Linked DNA regions of Macaca fascicularis. The protein of the gene in region 1 purifies or fractionates together with the protein of each later gene. This does not show direct contact. Links are inferred from orthologs where the notes say so. Each region holds a gene or a part of one and is shown in the gene's direction. Other genes may lie near its edges. The genes, in order: PTPDC1, PPP2R1B, PPP2R2D and PPP2R2A.

Region 1 (4,537 bases):
TCACCCCATGTATAGGGCATTTATATTGCTTCACGTTTTTTACTTTCATAGGCATCATTGTAATGATAATTTGTGCTTGCAGGTGTTTCTTTATTATAGATTATGCTCTTGTAGGTTTTCAGAATTGAAATTAGTGGGTCTCTGTACATTACATCTTGGATATGTATTGCTGAAGGTGATGGAATTTCTCCTTTGCTAAGGTGAACAGCCCCCAGGAGTGAAGTCAGTGGGCGCATTTTTAAGTATCTTACCCCCTTAGGTTGGAGGCTAAGCACTTAAGCACTGCATTGCTCCTGGGGGACTGGGGTTGCCCTTGTCCTTTTCTTTGTCTACCCCCTCCCTCCATATCATCTGCAGTGGCTGGGTACCCAGATCCTGACCACTCAGTGCCCAGTTAGTTAGTCCATGTATCTCTATGACATGTCGCCATCTACTAGACAACTGACATGATTATATCCAGAAACAACAAGAATGGGAAAATCTGTTCAATTCACGGCAAGAGAAACACTTGGTTTAAAATTGCACTGATCTTCAAATTTAGTTTTACTTTGTGAAATAGCTAGCCAGCTTTGATATTATCTCCTGAAAACTTTTCAAATTATATTAACACATAATAATAAACATTTGTTGATGTTTAGATATTTTGTTAGATATTTTGGCATTTGACATTACGAGTACTTGGTCACAAACCAATTCTTGACTCTAAGATAGTTTTGAATCGATTTATTGAGGCGTTTTTTGAACACATTTTTAAAATTTTGATTTCTACAAAAACAGGGACAGCACCAGACTATTCTCTGCGTGTTGCACTGCATAGTGAACCTGCAGACAATTCCCGTGGATGTGGAGGAAGCTTTCCTTGCCCATGCCATTAAGGCGTTCACTAAGGTGGGTCACACTCTTCTTTCCCCTCTCTGAACCACAGATCAGCATCATTTTTGTAAATCAGAATCCAGAGGTCACCATCCTCCTCTAAAATAAAACATGTATGTGTACGTTTTCCCTTCATGGAAATCTGTTTGACATTTCTTCTAAGTAGTTGCAGAGTTTTAACCAAAAAAAAAAAAGTTTCCAAACAATGATCTTAGGAAAAACTGAACTGTGGGTTTTTTGAAGGAGAATGTTGGAACAAAGAGCTTTTATATAAAAGAAAGAGAGAAATAACTGAGTATTGAATACATATTTTTAGATCATGTGCCTAATCAGAGTCAGAGAATCTTTGCTTGTCGAGCCAGTTCTACCTTGGGTTTAAGTAAGAAACCATTTATTGAAAAGTAAACATCCTGGCCGGGCGCGGTGGCTCAAGCCTGTAATCCCAGCACTTTGGGAGGCCGAGACGGACGGATCATGAGGTCAGGAGATCGAGACCATCCTGGCTAACACGGTGAAACCCCGTCTCTACTAAGAAATACAAAAAAACTAGCCGGGCGAGGTGGCGGGCGCCTGTGGTCCCAGCTACTCGGGAGGCTGAGGCAGGAGAATGGCGAGAACCCGGGAGGCGGAGCTTGCAGTGAGCTGAGGTCCGGCCACTGCACTCCAGCCTGGGTGACAGAGCGAGACTCCGTCTCAAAAAAAAAAAAAAAAAAAAAAAAGAAAAGTAAACATCCCACATTGCTGATTCAGTACTGAGTCCTGGTTGGCAAATCCTAAGGAAAGAGTTAAAAAAAAAACAAACAGGTTTTATTTCTAAAAGCCCATCCTTTTGGATGCAGCAGTTTTTCCTGGCTGAAGAAAGAAGAAGCCAGGTTCTTACCGAGAGAAAAGTTTCCCCTTACCCCATCAACTATAATTTGTTTATTACTTCTCATTGATATGAAAGTATCTATAATTTGTTTGTTACGTCTCATTGATATGAAAGTGTCGTTAAAGAACCCAGCTTTTGAATGACAACATCTGTGGTAACATTAATAAGTTATTAATTATACTCATTCACAAGTTGTGAAGATTCTTCCTTTTTAATATTTGTCCAGTCTGCTTCCCCTCCACTCTTTCCAGAGTGATGTTCTTACTTCAGGCCTTCCTTTTTCCTCATCTGGATTCTATGGCACTAACCACTGACATCTTTTCAATCTGTTCTCAACTGTTTCCAGAGTCAGTAGTCTCAAATCCAAACCACGTGGTCCTTTACATCTGTATTTACATTTTCATAGACTGAAAGGCTACCCTCCATGTGAAGAAGGTTGTAGTTTGGTGTTTAAGAAAGTAAACAGAGCCGGGAATGGTGGCTCATGCCTGTAATCCCAGAACTTTGGGAGGCTGAGGTGAGCAGATTATGAGATCAGGAGATCGAGACCATCCTGGCCAACATGGTGAAACCCCATCTCTACTAAAATACAACAATTTAGCTGGGCGTGGTGGAGGGCGCCTGTAGAATGTTCAAGAATGGCTTGAACCCGAGAGGCGGAGGTTGCAGTGAGCCAAAATCGCGCCACTGCACTCCAGCCTGGCAACAGAGTGAGACTCCATCTCAAAAAAAAAAAAAGGTAAACAATTCAGACCATTGTTAATATTAATAAGGAGTTTTTTTGCAAATAGGATATACAGTGTAGTTATAGATAAAATTAAATTCTGAGCTTGACTGAAAAAAAATCTTAAGATTGGTCTCTCTGAAAGCAGTAGGAATTCTTTACAACTTCTGTTGGCCTTTTAAGGGGATATGAAGGAAAAGTTAGAGATAGCAATTGTTCAAAATCCGTCTATAGAAAATGTTAGGAGACAGTTTTCCTTGGGTCTCTCAGGTCTCCTCATAGTCTGATGAGCAGATGCCCTGACCACTGTCTTTGGGGATCAACTCTTCACTAGTGTCTGGAGAGCTCTGCCTGGAGAACAGAAGGCACGTGTTCTGACTTCCCGGATAATAAAAATGTTTCCCTTCGGGGCAAAGGTTGGCAGAATTTTTTGCAGCCCCCTTGTGAAACATTAGAGTTTCCTAAGCTTGGGGCTCCTCAGCTATGAGGCAAACCCCGTGCTTGTGCAGCCTTCACCTAGGCCCCTCTGCATTGCCCCCATGAGACTTGGGAGACAAAGAGAACCCATGTGAACATGAAGCACGTGCAGCTGTGAGAAATAAAAGTTGTCTGTCTCTGACCCAGAAATCTCGTATCTTCTACCAGTGTCCGTAACACTGGCAAGCTAACAGGTCAAAGTCAGATCCTTTACAGTTGTTGACAGAGGGAACAACCTTCCATTTTCAAAATTTATCAGAGGAGAAATTCCAGAAGGAGAGAAGCAGTGATTGTGTGACCCTGATTCTTTCCCAGGGAGTCACACACTATTCTGGGAAGGGGGCTGAGGGTGGGTACTTGCTCTGGTTCTCAGTTCTGCCATCACTCCTAACCCAGAGTATGGTAAACTTGGGTGAAAAAATGCAAATATGTGTAAATAGTGCTCTCCCATCAAGGGGAAAGGAAATTTACCTTTATCAAGGTGGGGTTTGTTTGTTTGTTTGTTTTTTGAGACAGGGTCTCACTCTGTCGCCCAGTCTGGAGTGCAATGGCACAATCTCAGCTCCCTGCATCCTCTGCCTCCTGGGCTCATGCATTTCTCCCACCTCAGCCTCCCAAGTAGCTGGACAACAGGCACGTGCCACCATGCCTGGCTAATTTTTTTTAATTTTTTGTAGAGATGAGGTTTTGCTCTATTGCCCAGGCTGGTCTCGAACTCCTGGGCTCAAGCGACCCTCCCACCTCCGCCTCCCAAAGTGCTGGGATTACAGGCATGAGCCACCACGCCTGACCAGTTGAGGTTTGTATATATGTGCCAAACATATGTTAGACTCACAGATACGCTATCCTACGAAGGTGGGTATTATTATCTCTGTTTTACAAAGGAGGAGATCGAGGTCCAGAGAGGTTGGGTATGAGATGAGGGCACATAGCTAGCAGGTGGGGAGCTGGGCTTCTATTCACGTCACTCTGATTCTGTCCAGAGTGGCCACAGGGCCTCTTAGCAGGACGTATACAGCTGATGTGCTGTTTTAATACAGGAAACTTTTCCCTTATACCATCAATAATAGTCTCAAAAAATTCACTTCACACCCACTGTTGACTTGCTTCATGTCTGGGTGTGTATAATTAGACTAAATATCCAGGCACTAGATTTAATTTTGGGGTTTTCATTCATAAGTTTGGTATTGACATGGTTGGCAGTTCTAATATAGTCTTTCAACTAAAATGTGTGAAACTTATTATGTGTATTTTATATAGAGTTTTGTTCGTAAGTCTGTTTTTTTCTCCACCCCCTCCTTCTCTCAAAATAGGAACTAGTTAAAATTCTTGTTACAGTGTCCTGAATATAAATTTCTTTATCACCAGGTTAATTTTGATTCTGAAAATGGACCAATAGTTTACAACACCCTGAAGAAAATATTTAAGCACACGCTGGAAGAAAAAAGAAAAATGACAAAAGATGGCCCTAAGCCTGGCCTCTAGCTTTCCCTCGTGGTGAATATTTCAGACCTAAAGATCCAGATAGTATCTCTGTTCATATGTGAATAAGTCGAAGTTTGTGGGGCTACTTTTTCTCATAGCACTTTATT
Region 2 (4,537 bases), on another chromosome or scaffold:
AGTTTCATGGGCCTTTATTTTTTATTACCTGCAAGTTCTTCATTGAATTTCAGACTTGAGAGACATTTGTCTTCATGAAACAGATTTGCATTGGAACCATTGCCTTGCTCTAGTTGGAAATACCATTGTTTTGGGGACAGACTTTCAAAATGCCCTTGTGTCTCCCCCTGAGGAGCCCTAAGCATTGACTTCTCCACCCTAAAACTGAGAGGGAGAGCGGGCCCTGGCTTTCTCAAGCATGGGTCGGGGGCTCAGCGGGGCCTCTGTCTTTTGTGGTGACCCCTCAGGGGTTTCATTGTTTTCTTCTGAGTGAAGCAAAAGATAATTTGCTTTGGCACTCTTTGGAGGAATTGTGCTTTGGCTCATAACTTGGCCATGTTCTCCATGAATTAGTTCTCCTATTTTTTTTTTTTAACTACCTTAAACTTAAGGGACAATTTCTCCTATCTTGATTTCACTGGAATATAGGCTTTAGGAGCTCTGTAAGGCTGGTATTTTTGTCTGTTTTATCTTCTGTATTGCCAGTGCCTGGAACAGTATCTGGTGCACATAATAGGTGCTCAATAAAAATGTGTTCAGTGGATGAATTTCTAAAATATCCTCTGATGTGTTGTGTACATGGAACAAATCACCAAAAGAACCAGACTGTGTCTTATTTTCCCATCGACACAAAGATTTTCCTGCTCTCAGGAAACAAGCTTTATGTGGCCCTTCTCTGGTCCCCTGGCTTAGACTACAGTTCTGTGTGGATTTGTCTGGTTGCTTCAAACATGTATTGGTTTTCATCCTTGGCAGCTTACATCAGTTGTTTGATTAGAAAAATGAAGCAGACACACACACATACACACACAAACATATTACCTGTGCCGTACAAATGTCTCAGCAGCAATGGAGTTCACCTTGGTGTTTCTCTGCAATTTGTGTGGGGTTTACTCCTCACAGGTTTAAGAGACCAGGTCTTGTTTCTTTCTCTGTGCTGCCAAGAAGATGTGAACCTGAGGATGCATCTTGTTGCATAAGAAGGAAAACAGGTGAATATGTGGTTTCTAATGAGGTCTTGTTGAAATAACGGGCTGCCCTCAGCTCACAGAAATACCACAGCTCGGCCACTGTGATGCAGAGCCCCAGGGGTCTTCGTCCGACAGCTTGTCCTGACTCAACAGTCGGCAGCCTGACCTTTGAGCTGGCTTGCCCAAGCGTTCAGGTTGTTTGCGTAGACCTCTAGGGAAGCAAGCCTGTCCTTCCTGGCCCGGCGGTTAACCTGGTGCACTTTTGTTCCTTTGTTAACCGTTGTGTTGTCACTAAACTGAAAGGCTGGGGCTTGCCCTTAGACGTCACATTGGCTCTGTCCCTGTGGCGACGGCAGGGCAGGGTGGCCAAACAGGTCAGGTGCTTGTCCTGTCCTCTTGCCTTTTACTTAAATTCCTCTGACTTAAAAATGGTGACACTCTTATCGTAAAGCTTCCTATTTTTCTCCACTGCTTGGATATGAAACTAGGGGGAGAGGCCCTGTTGCCCAGTGTTCTCCTGGTTTACCAGCTGAGGTGACTGCAGTCTGATGTGATGTAATTGTTTCCCTTTGATTCTCCAGTATTCCTGTTTCCATCCAGTTCCTTACTCCCCTCTTTCCTCTTCCCTCGCACGTCTCCCTCCAGTCCTCTGTACCTAGAATAGTCTCACTGTCCCCTGTTTGCCTCCACGAGCCTGCTGTTTCCAGGAAATTACATAACGTTCAGTTGGGATGGAAATCTTCTGGAGGACGAATAGAGTTTAATTCCTCATTGCGTCGAAAAGCCAAGTCATTTCTGTCTCCAGAGGTGTTCTCTTAAACTGATAGGAGTTCTGAAAGGAGCCAGGTCTTCCCTGTGGTTGGGGCTCTGGAGGCCATCAGTGACCAAGATGTAGGGAACAGCCAGGTGGACACCAAAAGGCCCTATGGGGCAGCGCTTTCCAGGGCCCCGAGGGAAAGGCACCTCAGCACGACCCTGGACTGCCCCAGCCTTCTCTGCCCAGTGCCCCATGGGCAGAGACTGTCGGCTGCTGCTGGACTTCCCAGCTCTGCTGGCACAACTGAGGGCATCCTGGCTGGGAAGCGCAGGTGGGCTTGGGAGGGATGTGCCCTGGTCAGGGACAGTTACAGCGCCACTGTCTGTGTCTCTAGTGGTGGCACAAAGGCTGAGGAAGCTAGATTTTCCTGTGAAGGACAGTGGAGAACCCAGTGTCCCTCGGGCTGACAAGAACCATTTCCCAAGACCCAGAGTGCCTGGAGAGGACACGGGGAAGGTAAGTGCCCCGGAAGCCTGGGGCCAAGTCCTGCCCTCAGGGCTGCGGGCAGCCAGGGTGGCCTGGTCTGCGGGGAGCTGCCGCAGGGTAGGCTGAGAAGCAGCTCCTCTCACTTTGTCCCCAGGGGAAGAGTCCAATATTAAGGGCCGGGAGTAGATTTTTAAAGCCTGTTGCCAGCTTACTTCGTTCTGGGAGTGCTTTCTGAGGGACGGGTTGCCGGCCAGAGCTGTCACTATTGTAGCTTGAGGCCCATCTCCCATCACCTCCCCGTCCAACAGCGAAGCCCATATAGAGGACACTGGTGGGATTTGGTGAAGAATTGCTTGTAAAAAGGGGCTGTTCCCATTTTCCTCACGTAATACAGAAGTGACTTGCCACAATTCCTCAGTTATTTCCATTCAAGATAAAAATAGTTGCAAGTTTCTCTGTAACAGCTCATGTTCTACAAGCCCCACTGGACGCCACTCTGTGTGGAAATGGTGTGAAAAGCCGCATTTCAGCAGTCGGTGCCAGCCACTGCCCCAGGGCCATTCATTAGGAGGGCGATTTGTGACTTACAGATATATTCAGAAAAGGAGAGCAGCAGGGCTTGGCTGCCTCGTGCTGATGCCAGACTGCGTTTAGTTCATGGGGAAAAATCTGACATTCTCACACCCACTCTAGTGGGTTCGCTTGGTGAAATTCTATGAAGTAACATCAAAAAGGCTGCCTTTTAAGTCACATGGCTTTTCATTTTATGTGAACCGAAACCATGAAAACGTTTTTTCCTGTTGTTGAGGTCCAGAATCGCCTTCGCTCATCTTAGAACGTTCTTGCCTTCCTGAGTGGCTGCACACTTGTCCGTGGGCAGCACCGGTCGTTCCTGCAGTGGCCACACAGTGGGAGGAAGGGCTGGGCGATGACTGTCCGGATGGATTCCCGAGTGGCCAGTCCTTGGAGTCCATGTTCTCTTCACAGAACTGGGCCGCAGGAAGGAGAACTTGGCTGAAGGAGTGGGGGGTGACAGTTACACATTTTTTAGGCCTAAACCACAGACTTCTTTGGGAAGAAAGGGGTTACATCTTCCTACAAATTCAGAGCCAACTGCTCATGCCATAAATGCGTGGTAAGACCCGATCTGAGCGTGGGTCATTGAGGTGGCCCTCCCATGGCTGACCTGCTCAGCTCTGACGGCCCGAGCTGTGCCTCTGCTAGCTGAGGAGTTATTGAGAATTAACTGTCGTTACTTGAGCCTTGGTCACTGCAGCCCCTTGTCAGGCACTTTAAATCTCATGTCATCCTCACCCACCCTAGGTGGTTAAGTGCTGTCATCATTTTTCAGTCCCTCATGAATCTCCCCCAACCTCTGTCATGTCTATTTGAGAATCTTTCTTTCCAGGAAAGGAGGCCCATTGGTGCTAGGCCTCTGAGGCTTCAGTTCATTTAACTCAGAAAAATCCCCCGCCCCATGACTCAGGGAGCCTTCCATGCATTTGTTTCACTTAAGGAAAATGACCCGAGGGGGAGATGGAAAGGGAATTGGCTGTTGCCAGGCAGAACCCTGTGTGTCAGGGGCCAGCAGCCAAGTGAGTGATCCAGGAAGTCATCCAATTGCAACCAGAAATTGTTCTTAACCCCTCACTGTCTAGGGTGTGTAGTGGACTTGCCAGTCTGTCCGAACGGGGTGAGAGTGAGCGCCTTGCTATTGAGAGCCCCGGGAACCATCCGTTCTCAGCCACCCTCAGGGCTCTCAGGGAGCCATTGGACATTCCAGGGGCTGGGCCCATCACTTGAAGAGAGAATGGAAGGGGCAAGAGCCAGTCTCCCTTGGTGAAGGGCGCCTCCTTGGCGCCCTTGAAGTCTGTGGAGGTGCCTGTGTGTTGGATGTCATGTGTGTCCCCCAGGCAGGATCTGCCAGGGAGCAGCGTGGGTCACCTCCCACACCGTGGTGCCCGGGGTCCGCGCGGCGGCTCGCTCCCGGACAGGACGCAGGGGGGCTCCCCGATGAAGCTGCTGGCAGGCCTTGTCAGGCGAGGGTTAACAGGGGATTTGTTTATTGAATCACGAAGTAGCTGTCACATGATTTTAATCAAAACACCATTTCCCTGACAACAGTGATGTCAGTCTTGTTATTGCAGGAAGGAGCAGCTGTGAGGGACATTCAGTCTCCATGCCGAGCCCAGGTTTGGAGACTAAAATCAAGTGAAGCATCCATAAATAATGGCTACAGACATTGCCTGACTGCGTCCACCCTCCTCCTCTTCCTTTTCTCTGC
Region 3 (5,109 bases), on another chromosome or scaffold:
TCTAAGTGCTCTCACCTTGATGCTCTGGCTCTGACTTCCCTGCGTGCTCCAGGTTTGTCTGTGCAACAGCGCTATGTGTTGACAGTGAACCTCTGGTCGGGCTGCACTGCCCCCACCCAGATGGGCCTTTTGCAGCCCTTCTGTTGCAGAAACTCCATCGTTCCAGGTGCTCAGACCACCCGAGAGCAGTCATTCCTAAGTCCCTGCATTCTCTCACACCACATCTCTTCCATCAGCGAATCCCAGAGCCTCTGCTGTCAAAGTGCTTTTCTCTGAAATCTAACTGGTTCTCACCATCCAACCCCACGTTCACCACTCTATCCTCATCCCCATGCCTGGTCAGCCCAGCTGGCCACTTGATTGGTCTCCCTGCTTCCTCTCTTGGGGTCCCCACAGGCTATTCTCAGCAGAGCATCCACGGTGGCTCTGTGAAAGCCCCAGTCCATCACGATGCTCTTCTGTTCATGAGCCCATCTCACTCAGAATTCAAGTCCCCTAAATGGCCTGCCCACCGTCCATCCTCCTCCACTTACCTCCCTGCCTTGACTCCAACCCCTGGCCTCCCCTCCACTCACTCTGCACCCATGCGGCTTCCGGCTGCCTCCTGCCCATGCCAGGCATGGCCCTCCTTCCTGTCCTGGCACTTGGTAGTCTCTCCTCCTGGCCAAGCTTTCCTAGACGTCTGCATGCTTACTCGTTATCCCTGAGTCTTCTCCAGTCACCCCCGTGCAAGATTCCAACTCTCTCCATACACGTTTCCTTCTCTGATTTTTCTCTCCAGCTCCGACTGGAGTGGACGAATGTTCCTGATTTGCAGCGACTGTCTTTTAGTGGTGCAATACCATCAGCGCCCACTGCAGCTATACTGAAAGTAGTTCTGATTCCGGACATCAATCCCATAGGGACAGTCTCCCTGATGATAGCTCGACTTCACATTTTTCAACTTTACGATGGGTAGATTGGGTATTAGATGCATTTTTGACTTAGGAAGAGCTTATTGGCGGGGAGGGTAGCCCCACTGCAAGTCGAGGAGCACCCGTAATCGCTCAGTATGCCAGAGAAAACCCCCCGCAAATGAAGAAACGATCGGCCCTGTTTCCCCAAGACTGCACTGGGAGCTCCGAGAACCTGTAAGGTAGCCATCTGGTGAGCAACGGTGCGCTATGAAAGGGAGGTGGACGGGGTTGGGAGACCGAGGCAGGCAGACGGCTCGAGCCCAGGAGTTCGAGACCAGCCTGAGCAACATAGGCCCCCGTCTCTACAAAAAATTAAAAAATTCGCGAGCCTGGCAGCGCGTGCCTGTGCTCGCAGCTACTTCCGAGGTGAAGCAGTAGGATGGATTGAGCTCAGGAGGTCGAGACTTTAGAGAGCCGAGATGACGCCCCTACACTTCGGCTCGGGGTACCAAGCGAGACTCCGCGCGGGGGGCAGTGGGCGGGAGGTAGGGCTCAGGTGCGGCGCGCTCAGGTGAGGACGGCCCACATGCCCGCCCACCGCCGCCAAGCGCGCCCTCCATTGGCGGTTCGGTGGAGAACCCACACTCCCATTGGCCGATGCGGGATGGGGGCGTGTTCGGCCCAGCGGCGCCCGGAAGGCGTGTCCGGCCGCAGCCCAGGCCCTCCCGGAGTTCCCGGAGAGTAGGGGCGTTCGGCGGCGCTAGTCTTCAGGGGAGCGCCGGGCGCACACCGGACCACTACGGGAGGCCTAGCGCCGAGGGCCGAGGACTTGGCCTGCGCCCGCCGACCCCAGCTACCCTCTGCAGTCGCCCAGGCGTCCCTTCCCCCCTAGCCGAGCGGCGCCGGGCCCAGGTCCGGGGTCGGCAAGCGCAGGCGCATTGGACGCCCCCGGCAACCCCCGCGTCCCGCCCCGTCCGCTGCCGGTTCGAGGAGGCGGAGGGCGATGACGTCATCGAGCGGGGCGACGGGCATTGGGCGCCATTTTGAAAAGGGAAAAAAATCCCTCCCCGGCGGCGGCGGCGGCCGGGGCTGAGCGCTCGGCTGTAGCGGCGCGGAGGCCGTCTCCCTAGTCCGCCGCGGTCCCCGCCCGTCCCGCCGCCGGCTGCCATGGCAGGTGAGGGGCCTGCGCGGGCCGGCGGGGGCCGCGGGGGCGGGCGGGGGCCGCGGCCGGCCTGACCGCCCCGTTGTGTTTGCAGGAGCCGGAGGCGGCGGCTGCCCCGCGGGCGGCAACGACTTCCAGTGGTGCTTCTCGCAGGTCAAGGGGGCCATCGACGAGGACGTGGCCGAAGGTGAGGCCCGCGCCGCGCCGCGCCCCGCCCCGGGACCTTGGCGGGCAGCCCCCAGGCCGACCGCGGCCTCCGGGCCCCAAGCGCCCAAGGAAGGCAGGCAGGAGGATGGGGGCCGGGCGGGGCAGGGGCTGGGGGCCGTGGTGGGGGACCATCGTGGGGCGGCCGTCGTCTGTCCGCTGTCCTGGCCCGCGGGGCACGGGCGGAGGCGCCGGGCCCGCGGCGGGGCTTATGTAAGTCACCAAGGTCACGGGCGGCCGGGCCCTCCGAACCCAGCGCCTGGGGCTGCCTCCTGCCCGGGGCGGAATCGCGGAGACCGCGGCGGAGTCGGGGACGGGAACGGAGTCCAGATTCTGCGCTCAGGCAGCGCGGCACAATGGCCCGGAGGATGGGAACGCGCCTAGGGCTGGGTCGGGGCCTCGGCCCCCGCCCGGCTCTGCGTTTCCTCGCCGGTGCGCTCTTGAGCAAGCTGGTTGCCTCGGTTTGTCCACCCTTAACAAGAGAGCTGGACGCCCTGATTGTTAAGGTCTGCTTTCTGAGGTTCTAACATCCTTGAATTTTACTGTGAAGTATTGCTCCTTTCTCTATTGATATATTTTGAAGTCTCTACTCCAGATTTTAATCTTGAACTTTATGGTATTACTGGAAGTTCGCTGGTCATTTCCTTAAATCATACCCTTAAATTGGTCCAGGCACAAAGTTTTAGGGTGGTAGGAGGAAACTGGGGAGTGCCTCCCGCCTCAGCTTCCCGTGAAGCTTGCATGTCACCCTCGAGTGAAAAAGCTGTGTAGCTTTCCTTCTTCACCGTTGAATGGAGAACTTGGTCGAGTCTTAGAAGTTTGATTAATATTTCAGATTTAGAGCCATAGTGACTTTTTTGTTGTTTATATATCTTACTGAACATTGTAAACCTTTAACCTTTTCTTAAAAATGATTTGTGTTTGCACCAAATACACCTTTCCTGCCTCAAGTTACTAGAAACCCCTTGTCAGACATTCTGTTCACTTCCCTCCATCTCAGCCCCTCCCATGACATTTTACTCCCTCTTCCCTACCCTGTACCTTTCCCTGGCAGTGTCTGGTTTGGTGCATGACCCCTGAGGACATCTGGAAGTTCTGAGCCCCCTGGCACAAACAGGGCCTAGGTTATTAAGCAGGTGAAACTGGGCTCTAAGAAATGCATAATGTATACTGTTTGAGATTAAAACTAGGTACATTTTATGTGATGTAAAAAGTTTATTGATTTTATTTATTTAAAATACGTTACCTTTTTTTGTTTGATTTTGTATATGCCAAGCAAGTTTGAAGTGTGACTTCTATCGCAAGTAAAGCAAAACTTGTTTGGGAGTAAGGAAGGTGAGAGGGCTTAATGCCTGCCTTAATTTCTGTTTTTTTTTTTTTTTTTTTTTAACTCTTTTTTTTTTTGGAGACAGGGTCTCACTTTGTAGCTCAGGCTGGATGGAATGCAGTGGCGTCATCTGGGCTCACTGCAACCTCTGCCTCATAGGCTCATAGGCCCATCTGAGCCTCTGGAGTAGCTAGGACCACAGACATGCACGCACCACCACACCAGGCTAATTTTTGTATTGTCGTAGAGGATTTCACCATGTTGCCCAGGCTGGTCTGAACTCCTGGGCTCAAGTGGTCTGCCCACATCATTCTCCCAAGGTGCTGAGATTACAGGCGTGAGCGACCACACCTGCCTGGTTTCTTTACTTGAAAAAAAAAAATGATAAACTGAATGAATTAAAATTTAAGTATAACTAAAGTAGTGTATTTTAACTGTGAATTTACACATGTGAAAATAGCATTCTTTCTTTAAAAAAAAATTCTTGGGCCAGGTATCGTGGCTCATGCCTATAATTCCAGCACTTTGGGAGGCCAAGGTGGACAGATCACTTGAGGTCAGGAGTTTGAGACCATCCTGGCCAACATAGTGAAACCTCGTCTCTTTTAAAAATACAAAAGTTAGCTGGGCGTGGTGGTGCATGCCTGTAATCCCAGCTACTTGGGAGGCTGAGGCAGGAGAATCACTTGAACCCAGGTGGTGGAGGTTGCAGTGAGTGGAGATGGCGCCACTGCACTCCAGCCTGGGCAATAGAACAAGGCTCCATCTCAAAAAAAAAAAAAAAAAAAAAAAAAAAAAAAAAAAAAACTTGACAAATACTTTGTTCTCTGAATTAAACTGATGGGAACTTTTTGCAGTTTTAAATCCCTATTTTAAGTTAAATTTTGAGTAAATCCAAAAGTTTGGTATTTTGAGTTGTCGTGGTTTATTTTTTGTAACATTGTTTTGTGGTAATTATCCACACGTTTTGGTTATTGTAGGTATTCACAGCTTTCTATTTTAATCCATGTATGCTTTGGCCATAGTAACCCATCCAGATTAACACATTTATAACTCACCATCGATTTGTCCCATAGTTGTGATACTGTTGGTTTGTATGAAGACCACACAGTCAGTGATGATGAAGGGAAGTGTAGTCGTTGGTCACCAGTGATTGCTGAGCAGCAAGAATTGAGAAGCTGGTCATGCCCAACGCAACCTTGAGGGAGAGATGTTGGTGAGAGATAAGAGATGGGTGGCCAGGTGTGGTGGCTGACACCTGTAATCCCAGCACTTTGGGAGGCTGAGGCGGGTGGATCACTTGAGGTCAGGAGTTTGAGACTATCCTGGCCAACATGGCGAAACCCCATCTCTACTAAAAATACAAAAATTAGCCAGGTGTGGTGACACCCACCTGTAGTTCCAGCTACTCAGGAGACTGAGGCAGGAGAATCGCTTAAACCCGGGAGGTGGAGGTTGCAGTGAGCCGAGATTGTGCCATTGCACTCCATCCTGGGCGTCAGAGTGAGACTCCATCTCAA
Region 4 (5,063 bases), on another chromosome or scaffold:
TGTAAATATCTTTAACTCCCCCTTCTTGGTCTCCAAACACCTTTATCATTCCATTCAGCCTTAGGCCAAATTCTGGATGCTTTTACAGGTGTTTTTCATGTGTAAAACGTGCATATCTATCTCCTAGGAGCATCGTGGAGATGGAATGAGATATGTAAATTATGCTGTATATAGCAACTGCATCATTAGAGCATCTTTCAACAGAAGTGCACATCCCCTCATAGCTGATGACTGGCATTTCCTGTTCATTTTTTTCCTTCTACCTCTTAACCTTACTGACGATGCTTTCAATACAAATCTAATAACAACGGCAGCTAACATTTATCATGTGCTCAAATTAAGTCATTTCATCTCCCCAACAATCCTATCAGGTAGGACTGTCATCTTCATCTCCTGAGCTTTGGAATCACATTAGGCAGCCTGGCTTCAGAGTCCAGCACTTTTTGTGTTTTTGTTTTTGTTTGGACAGGATCGCATTCTGTCTCCCAAGCTGGAGTGCAGTGGTGTGATCACACAGCCCACTGCAGCCTTGACCTACTGGGCTCAAGCAATCCTCCAGCTGCAGCCTCCTAGTAGCACTATAGGCACGCCATCATACCTGGCTAATTTAAAAAAACTTTTTTTTTTGTAGAGATGGGTCTCCCTATGTTCTCTAGGCTTAACTCGGAACTCCTGGCCTCAAGCGATCCTCCCACCCCGGCTTCCCAAACTGCTGGGACTGCAGACGTGAGCCACTGCTCTTAAACGCCCAGCTCTTAAGCACGCAGTACACCACGTTTAGCTGGAGAGACGCCAAGTCACTTCTTGGGCCATACCCTTCTCATCACAAACTCAGGTTTCTCTTACAAACCACCCTTAGTGCCTGCAGTGCCCAGGACTCCTGCCTTGGTTCCTGGGGCCCACGCGAAGGTGACTTAACTTACCTAGATGGAACCAGCCCAATGGTGTCCCTCTGAACACCGTGAACTTTCACCCCGGCTGAGCAGTAAGTCTGCACCGCTCTCCCTTTCTTTGCGGCCTCAGGGCTGACCCAAAGTGACAGCCCTTTTTACTTACTCTTCCTTTTTACTTACTTTCCTAAGTAGTAGTGCGAGTATTTTTTTTTTTTGACGCGGAGTCTTGCTCTGTTGCCCAGGCTGGAGTGCAGTGGCGCGATCTCGGCTTACTGCGACCTCTGCCTCCCGGGTTCAAGCAATTCTCACACCTCAGCCTCCCTCGTGGCTGGGATTACAGGCGCACACCACCACACCTGGCTAATTTTTGTATGTTTTTTTAGTAGAGATGGGGAGTCACCATGTTGGCCAGGCTGGTCTCGAACTCCTGACCTTGTGATCCGCCCGCCTCAGCCTTCCAAAGTGCTGGGATTACAGGCGTGACCCACGGTCCCCGGCCCTGGTATTCCTAAAAGACGTAGGACCCCACGAATCCCTGCAGGCGAGGACGTAAACTGGACTGCTGAGCCCGCCCCAGAGCTCCCGCGCTAGTGCGAGAGGCTGGGACACTGCCAGGTGCATACAGCCGCGGCCTGGCGCAGGCGGAGCGGGCAGATGGGGTGCCGTGGACAGACGCGGGAGCGGCGCAGGCCCCGCCGGTCCGGACGCGGAGGGCGGGGCACGAGCGCAGCAGGAAGGGGGCGTGGCCAGGAGCAGGCCCGGCCGCTCCCCCGCCCCTCCCCCTCTGCTCTCCGCCCCAGCCTGGCAGCTCCGCCCTCTGCGTGACGTCACTGGCCAGGCCAGCCGGCGCCATTTTGAAAGTGGAGTCGCCTACCCCTGCCGCTGCCGCCGCCGCCGTCGCTGTCGTAGCCGCCGCTGCCGCTGCCGGAGAAAGAGCACGAGCGGGGAAGCCCCAGAGTGAAATCTAGCATCCTGCCGGCTGGTCTGCCCGCCCCTCCTTCCTTTTCCCCCGGCCCCCGTCCCCTCCCCCCGCAGGTGCCATCCGCCGCCATCCGCCCTCTCTACCCCCCCATCCCCAGGTGAGGGGGGTGAGTTCAGGAAGCGGAGACCCCGAGGAACCCAGCAGGGTCACCATTTGCAGCGCAACATGGCAGGTAAAGGAGAAATCCCCCTCGCCCCCTGACAAGGCACCGCTTCCTCCTTTTTCCCTCCATCACCCCCTAGCGACCGCCCGCGCCTCGCGCGGAGCCATAGGACGCCCCTCGGGTTTGAGGGAGTAGGGTCCAGAGGGGTGGGGTGGGGGCGGGGAGGGCTCCCAGGAGGCAAGTGGTCACAGTGAGAGTCACTGGGCTTGGAGAACGGGGCTGGCGCCGTGGCGGTGGTGGGGGTGGGGTGTGCCGGCGAGCTTGGGGTGAGGCGTGGGTGGGGCGGGGTGGGGGCGCGTGCAGATTTGTCCCTCCCGCTCGGGAGCCTGGTGGATCCTCTCCCACCTCCCCACCTCGCCCCTCGCCTTTTTTTTTTTTTCCTGCAGGTCTTCATTTAATTTGTATTTTTTCCCCTGCTGCAAGTCTTCTTGGGTGTATATACACATTTATTTTGCACCGAGAAGGAAGAGCGCTTTACAAGTTAAAATACAATGGGGGCATATGTGTATTTTTCCCCCCACTGTGGATGCCAGTATTTTTGAGACTGGAAGCCTAAATTTTTTGTTTCGAACCATTTCGTTTCCGTTTCTTCCCTCTTACCGCCGAAGAGTGCAAGGCCTTTCATGTACAGCAAGTTGCATGAAAATAATTTAAACTTTCCGTTTAGTATGTTAGCTTTTTTGCAGATGTCCTTTTCCCAAAAGGGTTTGGTAGAGTTAGTTAAAATAGTTGCGGAGTTCAGAGATATAAATAGCTAGGAGGAGAGAGATTTAGGTAGAAGCTTTGAAAGGGAGGGGAAAGGATGTAGAGAGAAAATCAGTTTAGGAATAAATTTAGCAAGGAATAGGGGTGATAGGGGAGAGAGAAGTAATGTAATTGCTTTGAGAATTCTTTTTGTACATGTTGGTGTTGCTAAATCTTTTCCTTCATGTAGTAGAATCAATTCCGGATTTAGATTCAGTTTCTTTCTCCCTAGAGCCCCAGGACATTTTCACGATTTCGACCTCAGTACTTGCACGTGAAATAGAAACATTCCGCGATGAGACCAGTTTTCCGTGCTATTATATTCATTATTTAGATAATTAAACCTTTTGAAAAAGTTAACGTGTCGGATTGACTTGTTTGCTATAAATAAGTTGCTTGTTGGCCTTGTTGAATAATGAAATGAGATTAAAATTGTTTTGCACGAGATGACATGTTAGCGAAATGAATTCTTTGCCAGGTCCTTTGGAGTCGAGAGATGAGGTGAAGGGAGGCAGAACAAGCTTCCTTTGACAGTCTCTTTAGCAGCATTCATTTCGGTTTCTTTTCCTCTCTGTCTGGAGCCAGTGATTTGCTGGTAATGAATGCAAAGAAATGGGTGTAGTGTTTGCTGTGTGTGCACTTTGGTGATAGGGTTCATATGAATCATTACTTCTTACCCAGGCAGTAATGTTCCCGAAGTTTTCTCTTCGTTCTATGTTTCATGGTAGTTAACCTTATTAATTCTTCTGCAGGCTTTTTGTACACTTAAAAAGAAAACTCTTTAACTCTTGGTATTTACTTTTTTTCTGGTAGGTCTTGCCTGAATGTAAGGCTTTTACTGTATTTGAGAGGAGGTTTGTGAACAGATGTATAATGACCGTAGATCATGTGCCTTTAAATAATTTCATACCTGGAATGTTTGTTTTTTTCTTTTTAGTACAGTACCAACTATTGGGGTCTCATCTTTTTCCAAACTGGTACTCTTGGTGGTAGTTGTATGTGTGGGCAGAACTAGGCTGTTAGTATCATGCCAACCATGGATACCATCTCTGTGTTTACGAGAGTCAACATAAGCAGAACTCGGTTTTAATTGGTATGTTTTATTTTTCCAGGAGCTGGAGGAGGGAATGATATTCAGTGGTGTTTTTCTCAGGTGAAAGGAGCAGTAGATGATGATGTAGCAGAAGGTAAGAAAGCGTTTAATAATGCAAATTTTGGATATGTAATTTTTTCAGAAATGTTTCCTACTGAGGGATTTCCTTGAAGCCGAAACTACTATAAATTCAAGATGATTTTGTGTTTATTGTCCAAGAAATGTAAGAACAGTTTTAAAAGTTACCTTTCTGAGAAACAGCCTTAAATTTCATTTATTTATGCCTTGTTTTTATTATTTTTTCCTCTGAATTTATATGAAAGGTGATGAGACATACAAAATCCTCACGTGAAAGCTGTGAGCTGCATTTAAGGGTTTCTTTGTTATGTAAATTCCACATACAAATAAATGGCGATGCGTTTTTATGTTTGTACATTGTTTTAGATAAGTAAATTGAAATAGGTGCCATCAGCATTTGGTTCAGAAACATTCTTAACAGCGTCTTTGATTTTTATGGGAAGATTTTTAACTACTTTTGAATTTGTCCACTTTGGGAGTGTGATGCTGATTGGCATATTCTGTGAAGAAATGATAGCTCAGGTTATTCGTTTTGTTGTCTTTCTAGTATTTAGGTGGATAAGACAGTAACAATGCTATGCATATATTGCTTGTCTTCTAGGAAGCGTTATTCTTGTGCAGGTAGAAACTGTGTTTGATCAGTTGAAGTGCTTAACGTCTAATTTTCTCCCCATATTTGTTTACTAATGTGTTTCAGAAGTTTAAGTTTTGGAACTTCAAGGTTTTGCATTCATTTGAGATGGTCTTAGGCAGCAGAGGCATTTCCCACAAAGTTGTTGCATTGTTTCATTCCTCAGAAATGTTGACGTTTTTTAATGGTATTGTGTGTCTTGAATTACAGTAGGAATTTTCCAAACAAAACTCATAAATTTAAACATGTACTTTTGAATTTTAAAAATTTGGTGAAAATTCATAAACCTTTTTTCCCTAGATTGTGTTGTCCTCATATTTCTGACCTGTCTGTAGGGTACTCTTTTGGAGGTTTTTTTTCAGTTGGTGGGTGGTAGCCGAATGCTTTTATTTGCTTGTGTCAGTGTCATTCTTAATGAAGTGTCTGTTTTAGAGTGTGGTGAATCCTATGGGAAGCCAACTGGCACAGGTTATACTTGT

Evidence for each region.
Region 2: the proteins of PTPDC1 (region 1) and PPP2R1B purify together in Homo sapiens (affinity purification with mass spectrometry; 3 studies listed by BioGRID and IntAct, counting the BioPlex papers as one, with this or other methods). This does not show direct contact. The link is inferred for Macaca fascicularis from reciprocal best matches to the Homo sapiens genes PTPDC1 and PPP2R1B.
Region 3: the proteins of PTPDC1 (region 1) and PPP2R2D purify together in Homo sapiens (affinity purification with mass spectrometry; 5 studies listed by BioGRID and IntAct, counting the BioPlex papers as one, with this or other methods). This does not show direct contact. The link is inferred for Macaca fascicularis from reciprocal best matches to the Homo sapiens genes PTPDC1 and PPP2R2D.
Region 4: the proteins of PTPDC1 (region 1) and PPP2R2A purify together in Homo sapiens (affinity purification with mass spectrometry; 4 studies listed by BioGRID and IntAct, counting the BioPlex papers as one, with this or other methods). This does not show direct contact. The link is inferred for Macaca fascicularis from reciprocal best matches to the Homo sapiens genes PTPDC1 and PPP2R2A.

What each region holds. Positions count from the first base shown.
Region 1 is NC_088389.1:124,332,715-124,337,251, forward strand, and holds part of PTPDC1 (protein tyrosine phosphatase domain-containing protein 1), read left to right. Parts: intron 1-777; coding exon 778-888; intron 889-4,313; coding exon of another isoform or gene 4,314-4,430; exon of another isoform or gene 4,431-4,537. UniProt on the Homo sapiens protein: May play roles in cilia formation and/or maintenance.
Region 2 is NC_088388.1:110,657,457-110,661,993, reverse strand, and holds part of PPP2R1B (serine/threonine-protein phosphatase 2A 65 kDa regulatory subunit A beta isoform), read left to right. Parts: exon of another isoform or gene 1-596; intron 597-2,161; coding exon 2,162-2,283; intron 2,284-4,537. UniProt on the Homo sapiens protein: The PR65 subunit of protein phosphatase 2A serves as a scaffolding molecule to coordinate the assembly of the catalytic subunit and a variable regulatory B subunit.
Region 3 is NC_088383.1:140,951,381-140,956,489, forward strand, and holds the start of PPP2R2D (serine/threonine-protein phosphatase 2A 55 kDa regulatory subunit B delta isoform), read left to right. Parts: upstream 1-1,926; 5' UTR 1,927-2,063; coding exon 2,064-2,070; intron 2,071-2,152; coding exon 2,153-2,245; intron 2,246-5,109. UniProt on the Homo sapiens protein: Substrate-recognition subunit of protein phosphatase 2A (PP2A) that plays a key role in cell cycle by controlling mitosis entry and exit. Involved in chromosome clustering during late mitosis by mediating dephosphorylation of MKI67.
Region 4 is NC_088382.1:29,477,490-29,482,552, forward strand, and holds the start of PPP2R2A (serine/threonine-protein phosphatase 2A 55 kDa regulatory subunit B alpha isoform), read left to right. Parts: upstream 1-1,729; 5' UTR 1,730-2,040; coding exon 2,041-2,047; intron 2,048-3,894; coding exon 3,895-3,969; intron 3,970-5,063. UniProt on the Homo sapiens protein: Substrate-recognition subunit of protein phosphatase 2A (PP2A) that plays a key role in cell cycle by controlling mitosis entry and exit. Involved in chromosome clustering during late mitosis by mediating dephosphorylation of MKI67.